Oryzias latipes: one gene and its partners. The protein of the gene in region 2 purifies or fractionates together with the protein of the main gene of each other region. This does not show direct contact. Links are inferred from orthologs where the notes say so. Each region holds a gene or a part of one and is shown on either strand. Other genes may lie near its edges. The genes, in order: ykt6, stx5 and bet1.

Region 1 (4,108 bases), on a different chromosome or scaffold from region 2:
GTTTAAAGTCAAATTGCTTTAGTGTTTCTACAGTTTTATTTCACAGCGACAGAAAACACCAAATCTTCAAGGAAAAGTAGGGAAAAATAAAATATTAAAAAGAAAGAGTACTTTATAGTTCATAAAAGATATTTCTGCTCAAATAAAATAACCGTATAAAAGTGAATTCTAAATATGAAAAGGTATTTTTTTTTCTCACATGGATTGTCCATCTATGCTAGAAGAATTTAAAGTAAGCATTGAAGCTTATTGACTGTGTTAAGAGAGTTTGACATGTTTTCATCAAGGTTGACATTTCTGGGTCATTTCACTTTGTTAGAAACCTTCCTAAACAAAGAAAGACTATTCAACCGTATTCCTGCAGGTTCACTGCCCCTGAAGTCAGCTTCGGCATTAGCTACGACCAAGGCTGGAGCTAATAGCTCAAACGGATATAGATCGGCGCCATCATGGTCGTCAATCAATTTTAATGCCTGTGAACAAGTTCACTTTGTCACAAATGGACAGAAATACACAATACGCACACGTTGTGCAACACCAGTTCGCTTTTTTTAAACTGTAGATTTAGTACAAGAATTCAGAACTTAGTGAAAACTGAAGACAGGGAAGTTTACCAGAATGATCTTTGTCTCATCCAGCTCTGCTTGTACTTTAGTCATCGCATCTGCTTCTCTTGGGTTCTGAGGAAAAAAGAACAAACAGCTCAGTAACATGTTTCGAAAAATAAGTTTGGCAAAATTCTCTAATAGTAAACTCTACAACTTAATAAACTATTCCTTTTCTCCAGTTCAGATATGTGAATAGACATTCAATGGTATAGCAAAGCAGACCTGATATTTAGCCAGGTGAATATCCAAGGCTTTGTAGTTTATTTTTTCAGGACTACCAGTTGGCCAGTCTATACTGTCCACCTGCCTGGAGAACTCATCTAACACCTAGAAAGAACAAAAAAAGAAATCAAGAGGATTTGAGTTTTAAAATCTTTAGTCAATTGCTTGAAAAATGTATGTTGTACTTACCTTGTCAAGCAATGTGAAACAGACCCTCTGTGGGTATTCTGTATCTGCGATGACCACAGCACCCAGGCTGTCATTTCTCACATAGACGTGGCACAAATACTCTAAAAAAATAAAACAAAAACAATTAAAATAAAAATCGCCAAAACAATGAAAACTCTTTTCTAACAGGGAAAGGCTCAAAGTGGGCCAAACATTCAGCTTAAAGAGGTACGTGTAAATCCGTAGATCATGCGTTTCCATTTTTAAAATCTTATGTAGCTTTCTGATAAAACTGTCGACAGAACAAGTTCTTCGCAAAACTTCCACACATTGGACTGTAATGATGGATTGATCCATTTTTGCTGCCATCACTTGTGCGTCATCTGCTGAGATGGCACTTGGTGGTTTTTCGTTGTAGTAAAATCTAAATGGTATTTTCTAATATTGATATTTATTATATTTTGGAACAATTTTAGAATAGTGTGTAGGTCAATTCAATTAACAACTTGCCTCAGACAGGTCTGGTTGGATCATAGGAACAAAAATTGATAATACGATCAATTGTTCCACCCCTGTTAATATACAAACCCCACAAGATATAAAACATCAAAAGAAGAAAACAGTGGATTAGGAAGACAGAACTAACATCTGTGATTTTTATTTAGTATCAAAGTCTCCTTTTAAGTTTACATTTAGCTGTCAAACATCATTTTGTTAGGTATTATTAGAAAATAGTCCTAGCTACATTATAGCTACATAAAAAAGACTAATGAATTTGTGGGAATATAAAAAGCACTTTGGAGACAATGAACTCCTTCAGGTCGACAATACATTCTTCTCTGTTTGTATTCCTTTTTTCCCTTCTTATAATACTACAATTTATAGTTTAAAAAATGACAGTTTTTCCTAGGCACTGTGATAACAATAAGGCATTTGCTATGATTAATGTATAATAATGAAAAACAGCTCAGTGTTACCTTGTTCTTTGACAGAGGCACGGGTCCCTTGTGACGTTCGCTCAACAATTAAGGCACTGGTAAAGGTCATGAACTCCTGCACACTAATGATGACAACAAAGCAAAGCTTAAGTTCATGGAGGCCTCTAGTTCAAACGCGGTCTGTGCGTTACTTCCGGTACAGTCAAAATAAACTTTAGTTACGGTCAGTGGAACTCACCTGGAACGCTGGAAGAAGCTGAAGGAGGACAGATCAAAGGCCGCTTTCAACAGATTTGATTTGGTCGCTCCTTTGTAGAGGACACTCAGGCTATAGAGTTTCATTTTTATCCCTCGGATCAAATCTGATTAAAAGGACAAGAAGTAAGCATTATCCAAATATCCAACACAACTTGGATGGCCAAGAGAGGGGGCCAACTTCCTTCAAGAGTGAAAATACTGTCTGCCACTAACAATTACCAGCTAGTTAAAAAAACAATCATGTGGATGTTACATGAAATCAATCAGACAGATATTCGTACATCAATTTTACTTTCGATTACATTCCTGAAACCCGGCAGAAGAAGTTAGCCAAACATGCTAACTAGTTTGGTTGAGGCCCGAGACAACTTACCAGGCAAATCAGCAGTGAGCGATAAATTTCCGGTCAAAAAAGCAAATAGAATCACTTGTTTCAAATTAATTAAAGCTTGATGGTGAGTTGCGAACGGCTCAGATAACCGAACCACACCTTAATTAGCGTCAACTGTCCAAGATGTACTTTAGTAATCAGCCACCACGTCACTGCCCCAACGCGGTCCTACGGTGTAGTAGCTCGGAAGAAACACGAACCGCTGTATTCATCGTTCCGCTCTCATGCGAGGAACATTGTAGAGGTGTCTTTTTAAGGTACCGGTGAACTGTTAAAAATGTATTTAAAAATCTCTCACTCATCAGAGTCACCAGTACATTTGATAAATAAACAATAGCTATTTCATAATTACATTAATAAAGAAAGTAGTAATACTAGACGTCAGGCAGCATGCAAGGTAACATGGATATTCAGCTCAACATTCCTCTTTTTCATGTTTTTGTACTTCACATGTATAACCCCCCCCCCATCATATACTCAATAATAAAATGGATTCACTGTAAATAAAGTTAAAACATTTTTTTAGAATAACTGGTTAGTTTACCTCTAGATGTCAAAGGGTCTCATGTTTTAGTAGGTAAATGGCATAAACTTATATAGCGCTTTTCTACCATCTTCGAAGGCCTAAGGCGCTTTACAGTCACAGTCCCATTCACACACAGTTTCACACACTGGTGGCAACTCTGCTGCTGAACACTGGCGCCAACCTTCCACCAGAGGCAAGGTGGGGTTCAGTGTCTTGCCCAAGGACACTTCGACACATGGGTGGGCAAGGTGGGAATTGAACCCGTAATATTCCTATCAGAGGTCGACCGCCCTATCACTGCACCACGACTGCCCCATATTTAGTACATATCAGTGATGCTTAGTTAAATAAATTACAAAAAATGTTTAAAAATGTGTCCTATGTGTTTTATTATTGATGGTTGTTATATAAATGGTGTTGGGTAGCAACGTTTACTTACAATGACTAGTATTTTATTTTAAAAATTACAAAACCTTTACCAACTGTACTCCCTGCTCTGTACTTTTAACAAACGTCAAATACAGTTTTTAATTGGGTCACCCTTCCCGCATCGAGTTATTAGACGATTTTTTCATGAACCCATACAGACTTATGTCTGAAGGTTCTTTTTTTGGAGGTGGGAGGTGAAAATGTCGATTAGTCCACTAAAGACTTGGCACCCTCAATTGATGTTTTCTCTTGTAATTTTGCTCCATTTAACAATTTCCTCCTGTCCACTTAACTCGGTGTAAGTAAGTGTTTTTCGTGTGAGAGGCACGCCTGTTACAGGTTTCCAAAGCAACCCAAAATGATAAAGGCGCATCTGTTGGACCAGTCGCACCAAGGGAGGAAATGATTTGTCCTTCGTGGAATTGCTTTTGGTTTTGTTGAGATACAGCAACGTTTTCACCGAGACGCTGGATGCTTTTTTTTTTGTCATTTAACCTTTTTTTGTTGTTAACAGCCAAAGCGAGGATTTATCTGAAAACTTTCTAACTTGACTTTTTTATTTATTAAT
Region 2 (3,651 bases):
ATATTTGTGTTCTTTGAAGGCTGGATCTGATTACTTTTAGTTTTGTTTTCTATTTTGTTTCTTTCTGTTCCTTGTTTTTATTTTTGTTTTGGGCTGAACTGACTGATATTGGTCCATTAAATCAATCTCTTGATCAATGACGCACATAAAATAATACTTAGTTTGACATTGATCCCAAACTTCTATCAGCCCAATGAAATATCACTAAGTCATATCACATATATCTGTGTGATGGTGCAAGTTTTTATGCTTAGTGTCTTTGTGGTTTTTTTTAAAGTTGTACATTTTTTAAATTATCGTCTTCTCTCATCAGAATGGAGTCCAGCCCAGTAAACCAGCTCTTGCCGCCCTGAGGCAGCGCAGTGACTTCACAGTGATGGCAAAGTAGGAACCTCATTGTTTGCTTTCCTTGTTTGATACAAAAGCTCATAAATTCCTTTACATGAATAGTATTTAATGTTGATGTTTAATATCTGTAACCGTTGGACAATATGTTGTCTTTTTTTTACAGTTATATATTATTTATTTAAAAAAAAAGACTTTTACAGTGATGTGTAGTTGTTTTAAGAAGTTGGACATTTGTCCTCACAGCTATACTAACAGTAAAAATTCTGAGCGACAATAAATCATATTAACGTACTGTTTGAACAGCAGAAATTCAAAATGTTCAAAAAGGAGATTTAGGCATTTAAAAATGTATCCTTTGCTTATGTTTGACTATGCAATGTTCAAATCCACAGATAATTTCAATATTAAGGCTTGGTAGTTGCATTGGAGCTTATTTTTGGATCTCCGCCTTCTTTTGTTTTATCAAGTCAGCCTTAAAGTCCCTCTCCAATCATGTTTTGATCTCTTGTAAAAGCGTTTCCAGTGGTTTTTTAATTATGATGCATTGTTTTCTAAGACATAGTTTCTGCAGTGCGGCAGTAGTTTATTAGAAATTTGCCTCTGAGATGTGGGCAGCTGAATAGAATAACTTGATTGTCATTTTATATGTAAAATGAATTAAATGTTTATAATGTATCTAGTTAATTATAATTAGTTGGTCCCTTAACTTTTGGAGAGAAAGAAAACTTTGTTACAACTTCAGTAAAAAACACAGCGTTTCTGTTTGTTCTTGCAGGAGAATTGGGAAAGACTTGAGCAACACTTTTGCCAAACTGGAGAAGCTCACTATTTGTAAGTTTTTATTTGTTGGCTGCACTAAATGTAATAAATATTTTGTCTGAAATAGTCAGACCATTGGTAATAAATGTATAAAAGGTCATCAGTAGTGCTGATTGTACTGCTTTGATTTTAGTGGCAAAAAGGAAATCCTTATTTGATGACAAAGCAGTGGAGATTGAAGAGCTGACGTACATCATTAAACAAGTGAGCCGAGTTGGAGTTCTTCTTCCTGTTGCTTTGGATGTGGTGAGTAACCCCAGCACCTCTGCTTGGTGTTTGCAGGACATCAACAGTCTGAACAAACAGATAGCACAGCTGCAGGACTTGGTGAGATCACGTGGAGCTCCGGGTGGCCGACACATCCAATCTCATTCTAACACTATAGTGGTGTCACTACAGGTATGTTCATGGATTGTTGAAGTCTCACACTTCATTAATCATAGTTTAGTTTTGAACCATCTGAAAGCTCTAACACATACAAATGTATTTTTTACTATAAAGAAACAAAACCTCCAATAAACTTTACATGTTGTTTGCAGTCTAAACTGGCGTCTATGTCAAATGATTTCAAGTCGGTCCTTGAGGTCAGAACAGAGGTGAGAAACCATTTTCATTTTTCAAGAAAAGTAGAAATGGAGATTTCTTACATTTGAAGTTCTTCTAAAGTCTCAGTCTAAGTTGTTGAAGCGGCTTTCCTTTGTCTGCAGAACCTGAAGCAGCAGCGCAGCAGGAGAGAACAGTTCTCCCAGCCTCCCGTCTCGACTTCTCCCATGATGGCAAACAACTTCAGTAAGTCTGCTGACGTCACACAAACATGCTGTGGCCACTTTGAACTGACTCTGCTTAACACTGTTGGTGGGAGGTGTTTCTTTGAAGCAGCAACTAATCAAGCAATAAAAATTAATAACTAAACGAAACTGATAAACTGTCTTTTAAACTAAATCCTAAAAAAAAAAAGATGACTTTAAAAATGGTTATACTTTAATAATGAACAGTCTTTTTACTAATAATTAAGTTTTTCTTTTGTATTTAAAGCAACAAATTGCTTTCCTGCTTTTATTTTTTTTTAAAAGTATGTAAAGACGGTCAGTCCCCATGGATTATTAAAGTACTAACAATTTAACTGAGTCAGGTGTTTTTCCGGGAGGAGTGTGTTTAGTCAAATCCCTCGTGTGTGTGTGTTCGTGTGTGTGTGTTTACATCATCAGGAAAATGTTTGGTTCAACTCCAAAAAAACTCAACAACTTTCTAAGCAGGTTAACACAGAAGGTGTGTGAGGTTACTAAACAGTTGATGGAGAATTTCTGGGGAACCCATACAAAAATCAGATGGTTTCAACAATGATGTGTAGATATGAACAGCTTTTCTGTTTCACTCCGGAAAATTCTTGCCCAAAATAATCCACAAAATTAATTAATGTGTAATTTTAAACTAGATATTTTGTCAGTGGATCTTGAACTACAGGGGACATCTCCAGAATATTGAAAAAAAAAGAATTTAGTGACATCTGCGCTTGTTATAAATCAATAAATGATAAATTTAGCTAAAGAAGAATTCACATTGAGCATGTTGCATACATTTGTTCTCAAAGATAGTAGTAGAAGTAGTTTTTTTTTAACTGCAAGTGTAAAAACTGCTGCTGTCTTAGAGAACTGCTCAGACTCTTTGTGAATGATTATTCCTGTATTTGGCCCTCTGTAATGTAAAAATTAAAAATATTTTAGGGAGCCGCAAAAAAGGGGCCCAGGAGCCGCACGCAGATCGTGAACCGCGCTATGACTACCAGGGCTATACAACCACAAATGTAAAAGGTATTTCCCTGGAACGTTTGACACTCTGAGCGGGTATTGATTAGTTACTGTGTGTACCTGCTGTGTTTTTCTATCTTGTGTTTTTTTTTTTCCCCCTCTGCAATTCTGAGTTTTTTTTCCAGCCTTGATGAACAGGTGTTTACCTGCTGTCCCCCTGCAGAGAGTTCGGTTCTGATGCAGGATGAGTCGCGCAGTTTGGGAGACGTGGCCATAAATATGGACTCTCAGAGCAACCCTCTGCAGCTCCAGCTCATCGATGAACAGGTAGACAGCTTAGGATGAGTCATTTTGTTTAAAAGCTTTGCAACATGCAACGTTGTATTTTTGCAGAATAATTTGATTCCCTTTTTGGCGTCTTTTCCCTCTAGGATTCGTACATCCAGAGCCGTGCAGACACCATGCAGAACATTGAGAGCACCATCGTAGAACTGGGTTCTATATTCCAGCAGCTGGCACACATGGTCAAGGAGCAAGAGGAGACTGTCCAGAGGTGGGTGTGGAATAGAAAGGGAAAAGCTGCATTATTCATTTGAAGCACTTTCTTTATTGCTGTGCATCACTCAGAGCACTTCACATGTTAAACCTCAGTTGCAGATTAGATTAATGGATTGTTATTTTATTAATGGCAGAGAACTTGTTTTATTAGGTCTTACACTGAAGACAGGCATCATAC
Region 3 (4,194 bases), on a different chromosome or scaffold from region 2:
ATGGACACCAGTGAAGATCACAAATCATTGAAGAAAAAAGGTTCAGAGCACTGTCTAGTGGGTCTAGATGACCCAACTCCCAATATTAAAGTGCCTAGAATAGCACAAGGGTTACTAGTTAATTACCAAATAAATGTTCATTTTTTTTACTGCAAGTCTTAAGATTTGCGGTTTAATTTAAAGTTTGACAGACTAGAGACTTGAAGTTGAACTTTCATGCAAAGACTGGACTTATGAGCACCTGAGTGACAGTTAATTACAGAAGTGTGTTGTTGCTTTTTTTCTCTCTCCTCCAGGGATTCCAGGTTATTGTCCATCGGCGCCGGGGCTGATGAGGTGATGCTGGGAATAATCTGCAAGTTCATGGACACTTTACCCCGGAAGTGATGTCATTTGCAGCAGATTCCTGCTCAGACGATGATAATTAATACAAGAGTGCAATTTTAAACCATCCTGACCTGTTCAGATATTTGTAAAAAAAAAATTAGTTTGGAAATCTCTTGTAATTGTTTGCTTCTTTTATTGATGAAGTTATGTTAAACGCTTTGAACACATCCAGCATGGAAACACAAACGATGCCATAAAATCTGTTTTTATTTACATTTTTACTCAAGAATGAAGGTCTCTGTGGTGATTTACAATGTCAGGTGATGTAATACAGACGTGTCCCTTATGTGCTGCACTGTGTGTGTCCACATTTATGGGACTGAACAGTTGAAATAAGATTGACATAATTTTGTATAACAAATGTTTATGCTCATAGTTTGTAAATCAGTGGCAGAAGAATTAAAATAGCAAAAAACAATGTTGAAATTGTGTTTTATTATGGAAACTTTGCTCTGGCAGCATTTAAGACTGAATTGTTTAGTTGTGATTTTAGGTTTTTAGGACTATCGGCAGCCTTTAATTCATTTGGCTGTCCAAAACTCATCAACATGAGTTGTAATTACCGTACTTGTGTTCAAACCTGTCCATATCAACTCCCTCCTTGACATAAGTACACCAAATTGTGTTTAATTATTCCACAGCTCAAACCACCTTAACCTCATTTACAAAAAATAACTCATCAGCAGCTGTTGTATCTTGGACTGTGGATCCTGTTTGTTTAATCATAACTGAGCTGTAGCTGTGCAACACAAATACTAATGTGTTAGGTATACAAATGGTATACAAGGTGCTTTCCTGGGTCATTTGCCTTGTTAAAGATGAACACTTTCAAAGTTTATTTCTTGTCTATTTTCTATTTCAAGCCCTTTCATGGCTCATTTAGGGGACATCAGGAAACAAAATGATGCTCGAAAGAAAAAAATCCCCACCTAACCAATTGAACAAGTGTTTTTTTAGGTCAGAGCTGCTAGTGAATGGGAATGAAGACGTGGAGCTAAGGGGCAAAGTCCAACAAGATGCTCTTATCACCTCAGCTTGATGAACCAGTAGAGGACAAAGAAGACAAAAAGGCAGAAGAGCAGCATGTAGCAGAGCAGTTTGGTCTGGCTCCCTCTGGACAGCTGCTTTACTCTGCCAATGGTGGCTCCCAACAGTCCGCCTGTAGAATCAAAGTCCGAGTCCTGTGAAGAGATGAGGGGGGGATCAGGAACCGCTTCAAATCCAAGAAAATGTTTACTAAGTCGGTACTATTAAAATCCCACTCTTTGAGCTATTGTCCCTCTGTCTTTTAATTATGATTCTGCTGTTTTTAGCCAGAATCAATTTTCTACAGCAAAAATAAACTCTTTTTCAAGCTTGATTTATTTTTTGTCTGCTCCCGATTTAAAACAATTTGAATAAAGAAATACTCAGAAACACAAGTTTAATCTTTGTTTCTTTTTATGCCATACATCATGAGAAAGCTGCTACAAGAACATGTTAAAACCATTTTTCATAGGAGTGAGGACTTTAGAGTAACTGTAAAGGTACTTCTTTGCCATTTAAATACAAAGAGAAACCCACCATATCTTCCAACATCTTATTCTGGTATTTAACCTCTGTTCCAATATCAATAGTCAGCTGGGAATGACAAGAGACAGGAATTGATTGTTAGATAAGTAAAACTTGTAAAATAGCTTTTAAAACTAGAAATTGGTAACAGAAACAAGTGAATAGTGACAGACGAAGGCACAGTTTTGTGTCGCAGCTGGTCTTACACTTTTCAAGGCGCTGACTTTAGCTCTCAGTCCCTCCTGTAAATGATCATTTTCCTCCTCATAAACACTGTAGCCACTCGCCACATAATTCCCGGAGCCTCCTTCACCTACACAAGACAACAAAAAACAATATTAAATGCTGAGAATAAAGCCAAGAGCCTTATTAAAAATGTAACTACGCCTCAGAGTGTTGCATCCATCCACCAGTGAAAACAACATTAGCTAATGCTAGCTACCATGTTAGCTGGCTAGCGATCTGAAACTTCCCAGTTTTAGACTCGTTTCTTACCCAAACCAGCGCGTCTCATCCTTACTCACTGAAGCCGAAAATGTCCACAGTATATTCCGAAGAATTAAACAATGAAAAGTTTAAAAATAATCAGAGGTCTAGTCTCTACACATAGGGAAACGCCACGACATCATACGGTGGCCGAGAAGGACAAATCCTATGTAATAATGTAAAAGCTAAAAAAAATCCACAAAAAAAAATCAAGTAAATGATTCCTAAAATAGTGTACGTTTATCCCTTTGGGTACTAAATACCCAAATATTATTCCACATTTTGAAAAGGTATATTGAATAATATAATCTTTTGACAAATTAATATTATTATTTTTATTGTTTTTGTAGTTTCTAAAATTACATTGTTACTGAATAAATAATCCAGATTTTTGCTATTGTGTTTCTTTCTTCTTTTAATTCTAAATTACGAGACCCAATCATCGCACATGAAACAGGATTTAAGTATTATGTCACTCTTAAAACACCATGTTTGTAGCTGCAATTCTGCTGTTGCTATTTCTTTAATACTTTTCTTTATTTGCATTGTCTGTTTTCTAATCAGAATAAAGTCACTGTGCCTTCAGAAAGAAAATGTTGTTCTTTTTCTCATCTTTTATTTGAAAATTGTTCAAGAGAATCACCATTTAAAACCCCACTCAGATGAAGATTGTGTTTTTAGTGTTTTAACATGTTCTTGTGGCATTTGTTGGAAGATGGCGAACATTAATTAAGATATTTAGGCTTCAAATTGGGTTTCTGAGTGTTTCTTTATTCCAATTGTTGTTAATCAGGAGCAGACAAAAATACTGGCACCTACCTCCCTGCTGAGTTCTGATGGATCCACTTGTTGTCGACTGGATTCATGTATGTCTTTGTTTTACTTGTCTGATCTGGCATCTGGATCAAAACTGGACAACTGGATAGCTCCAGTATTGCTCGCCATTTTTGTTGCCCAGTGGGACATGCAAGGAACACCTCCCAAGGGAGGTGACCATTGCATCTGGACCAGATGCTTGAGCCACATCAACTGGCTCCTCACAATGTGGAGGAGCAGCGGTTCTACTCCGAGCTCTCTGCAGGTGACCGAGCTCCTCACCCTATCTTTAACCCTTGTGCTATCTTAGATAGATAGATAGATAGATAGATAGATAGATAGATAGATAGATAGATAGATAGATAGATAGATAGATAGATAGATAGATAGATAGATAGATAGATAAGATAGATAGATAGATAGATAGATAGATAGATAGATAGATAGATAGATAGATAGATAGATAGATAGATAGATAGATAGATAGATAGATAGATAGATAGATAGATAGATAGATAGATAGATAGATAGATAGATAGAATAGATAGATAGATAGATAGATAGATAGATAGATAGATAGATAGATAGATAGATAGATAGATAGATAGATAGATAGATAGATAGATAGATAGATAGATAGATAGATAGATAGATAGATAGATAGATAGATAGATAGATAGATAGATAGATAGATAGATAGATAGATAGATAGATAGATAGATAGATAGATAGATAGATAGATAGATAGATAGATAGATAGATAGATAGATAGATAGATAGATAGATAGATAGATAGATAGATAGATAGATAGATAGATAGATAGATAGATAGATAGATAGATAGATAGATAGATAGATAGATAGATAGATTAGATAGATAGATAGATAGATAGATAGATAGATAGATAGATAGATAGATAGATAGATAGATAGATAGATAGATAGATAGATAGA

The links.
Region 1: the proteins of stx5 (region 2) and ykt6 purify together in Homo sapiens (affinity purification with mass spectrometry; 3 studies listed by BioGRID and IntAct, with this or other methods). This does not show direct contact. The link is inferred for Oryzias latipes from reciprocal best matches to the Homo sapiens genes STX5 and YKT6.
Region 3: the proteins of stx5 (region 2) and bet1 purify together in Homo sapiens (affinity purification with mass spectrometry; 3 studies listed by BioGRID and IntAct, with this or other methods). This does not show direct contact. The link is inferred for Oryzias latipes from reciprocal best matches to the Homo sapiens genes STX5 and BET1.

What each region holds. Positions count from the first base shown.
Region 1 is NC_019867.2:5,871,999-5,876,106, reverse strand, and holds the start of ykt6 (synaptobrevin homolog YKT6), read right to left. Parts: upstream 2,805-4,108; 5' UTR 2,685-2,804; exon of another isoform or gene 2,568-2,684; intron 2,299-2,567; 5' UTR 2,279-2,298; coding exon 2,175-2,278; intron 2,059-2,174; coding exon 1,976-2,058; intron 1,121-1,975; coding exon 1,020-1,120; intron 936-1,019; coding exon 831-935; intron 681-830; coding exon 615-680; intron 1-614. UniProt on the Homo sapiens protein: Vesicular soluble NSF attachment protein receptor (v-SNARE) mediating vesicle docking and fusion to a specific acceptor cellular compartment. Functions in endoplasmic reticulum to Golgi transport; as part of a SNARE complex composed of GOSR1, GOSR2 and STX5.
Region 2 is NC_019868.2:11,891,470-11,895,120, forward strand, and holds part of stx5 (syntaxin-5), read left to right. Parts: intron 1-313; coding exon 314-384; intron 385-1,123; coding exon 1,124-1,179; intron 1,180-1,300; coding exon 1,301-1,371; intron 1,372-1,449; coding exon 1,450-1,566; intron 1,567-1,706; coding exon 1,707-1,763; intron 1,764-1,874; coding exon 1,875-1,956; intron 1,957-2,891; coding exon 2,892-2,978; intron 2,979-3,138; coding exon 3,139-3,242; intron 3,243-3,346; coding exon 3,347-3,468; intron 3,469-3,651. UniProt on the Homo sapiens protein: Mediates endoplasmic reticulum to Golgi transport.
Region 3 is NC_019869.2:10,286,773-10,290,966, forward strand, and holds bet1 (BET1 homolog), read right to left. Parts: upstream 2,595-4,194; 5' UTR 2,453-2,594; coding exon 2,434-2,452; intron 2,252-2,433; coding exon 2,145-2,251; intron 2,008-2,144; coding exon 1,951-2,007; intron 1,569-1,950; coding exon 1,413-1,568; 3' UTR 510-1,412; downstream 1-509. Other genes in the region: probable acyl-CoA dehydrogenase 6, read left to right, coding at 297-387. UniProt on the Homo sapiens protein: Required for vesicular transport from the ER to the Golgi complex. Functions as a SNARE involved in the docking process of ER-derived vesicles with the cis-Golgi membrane.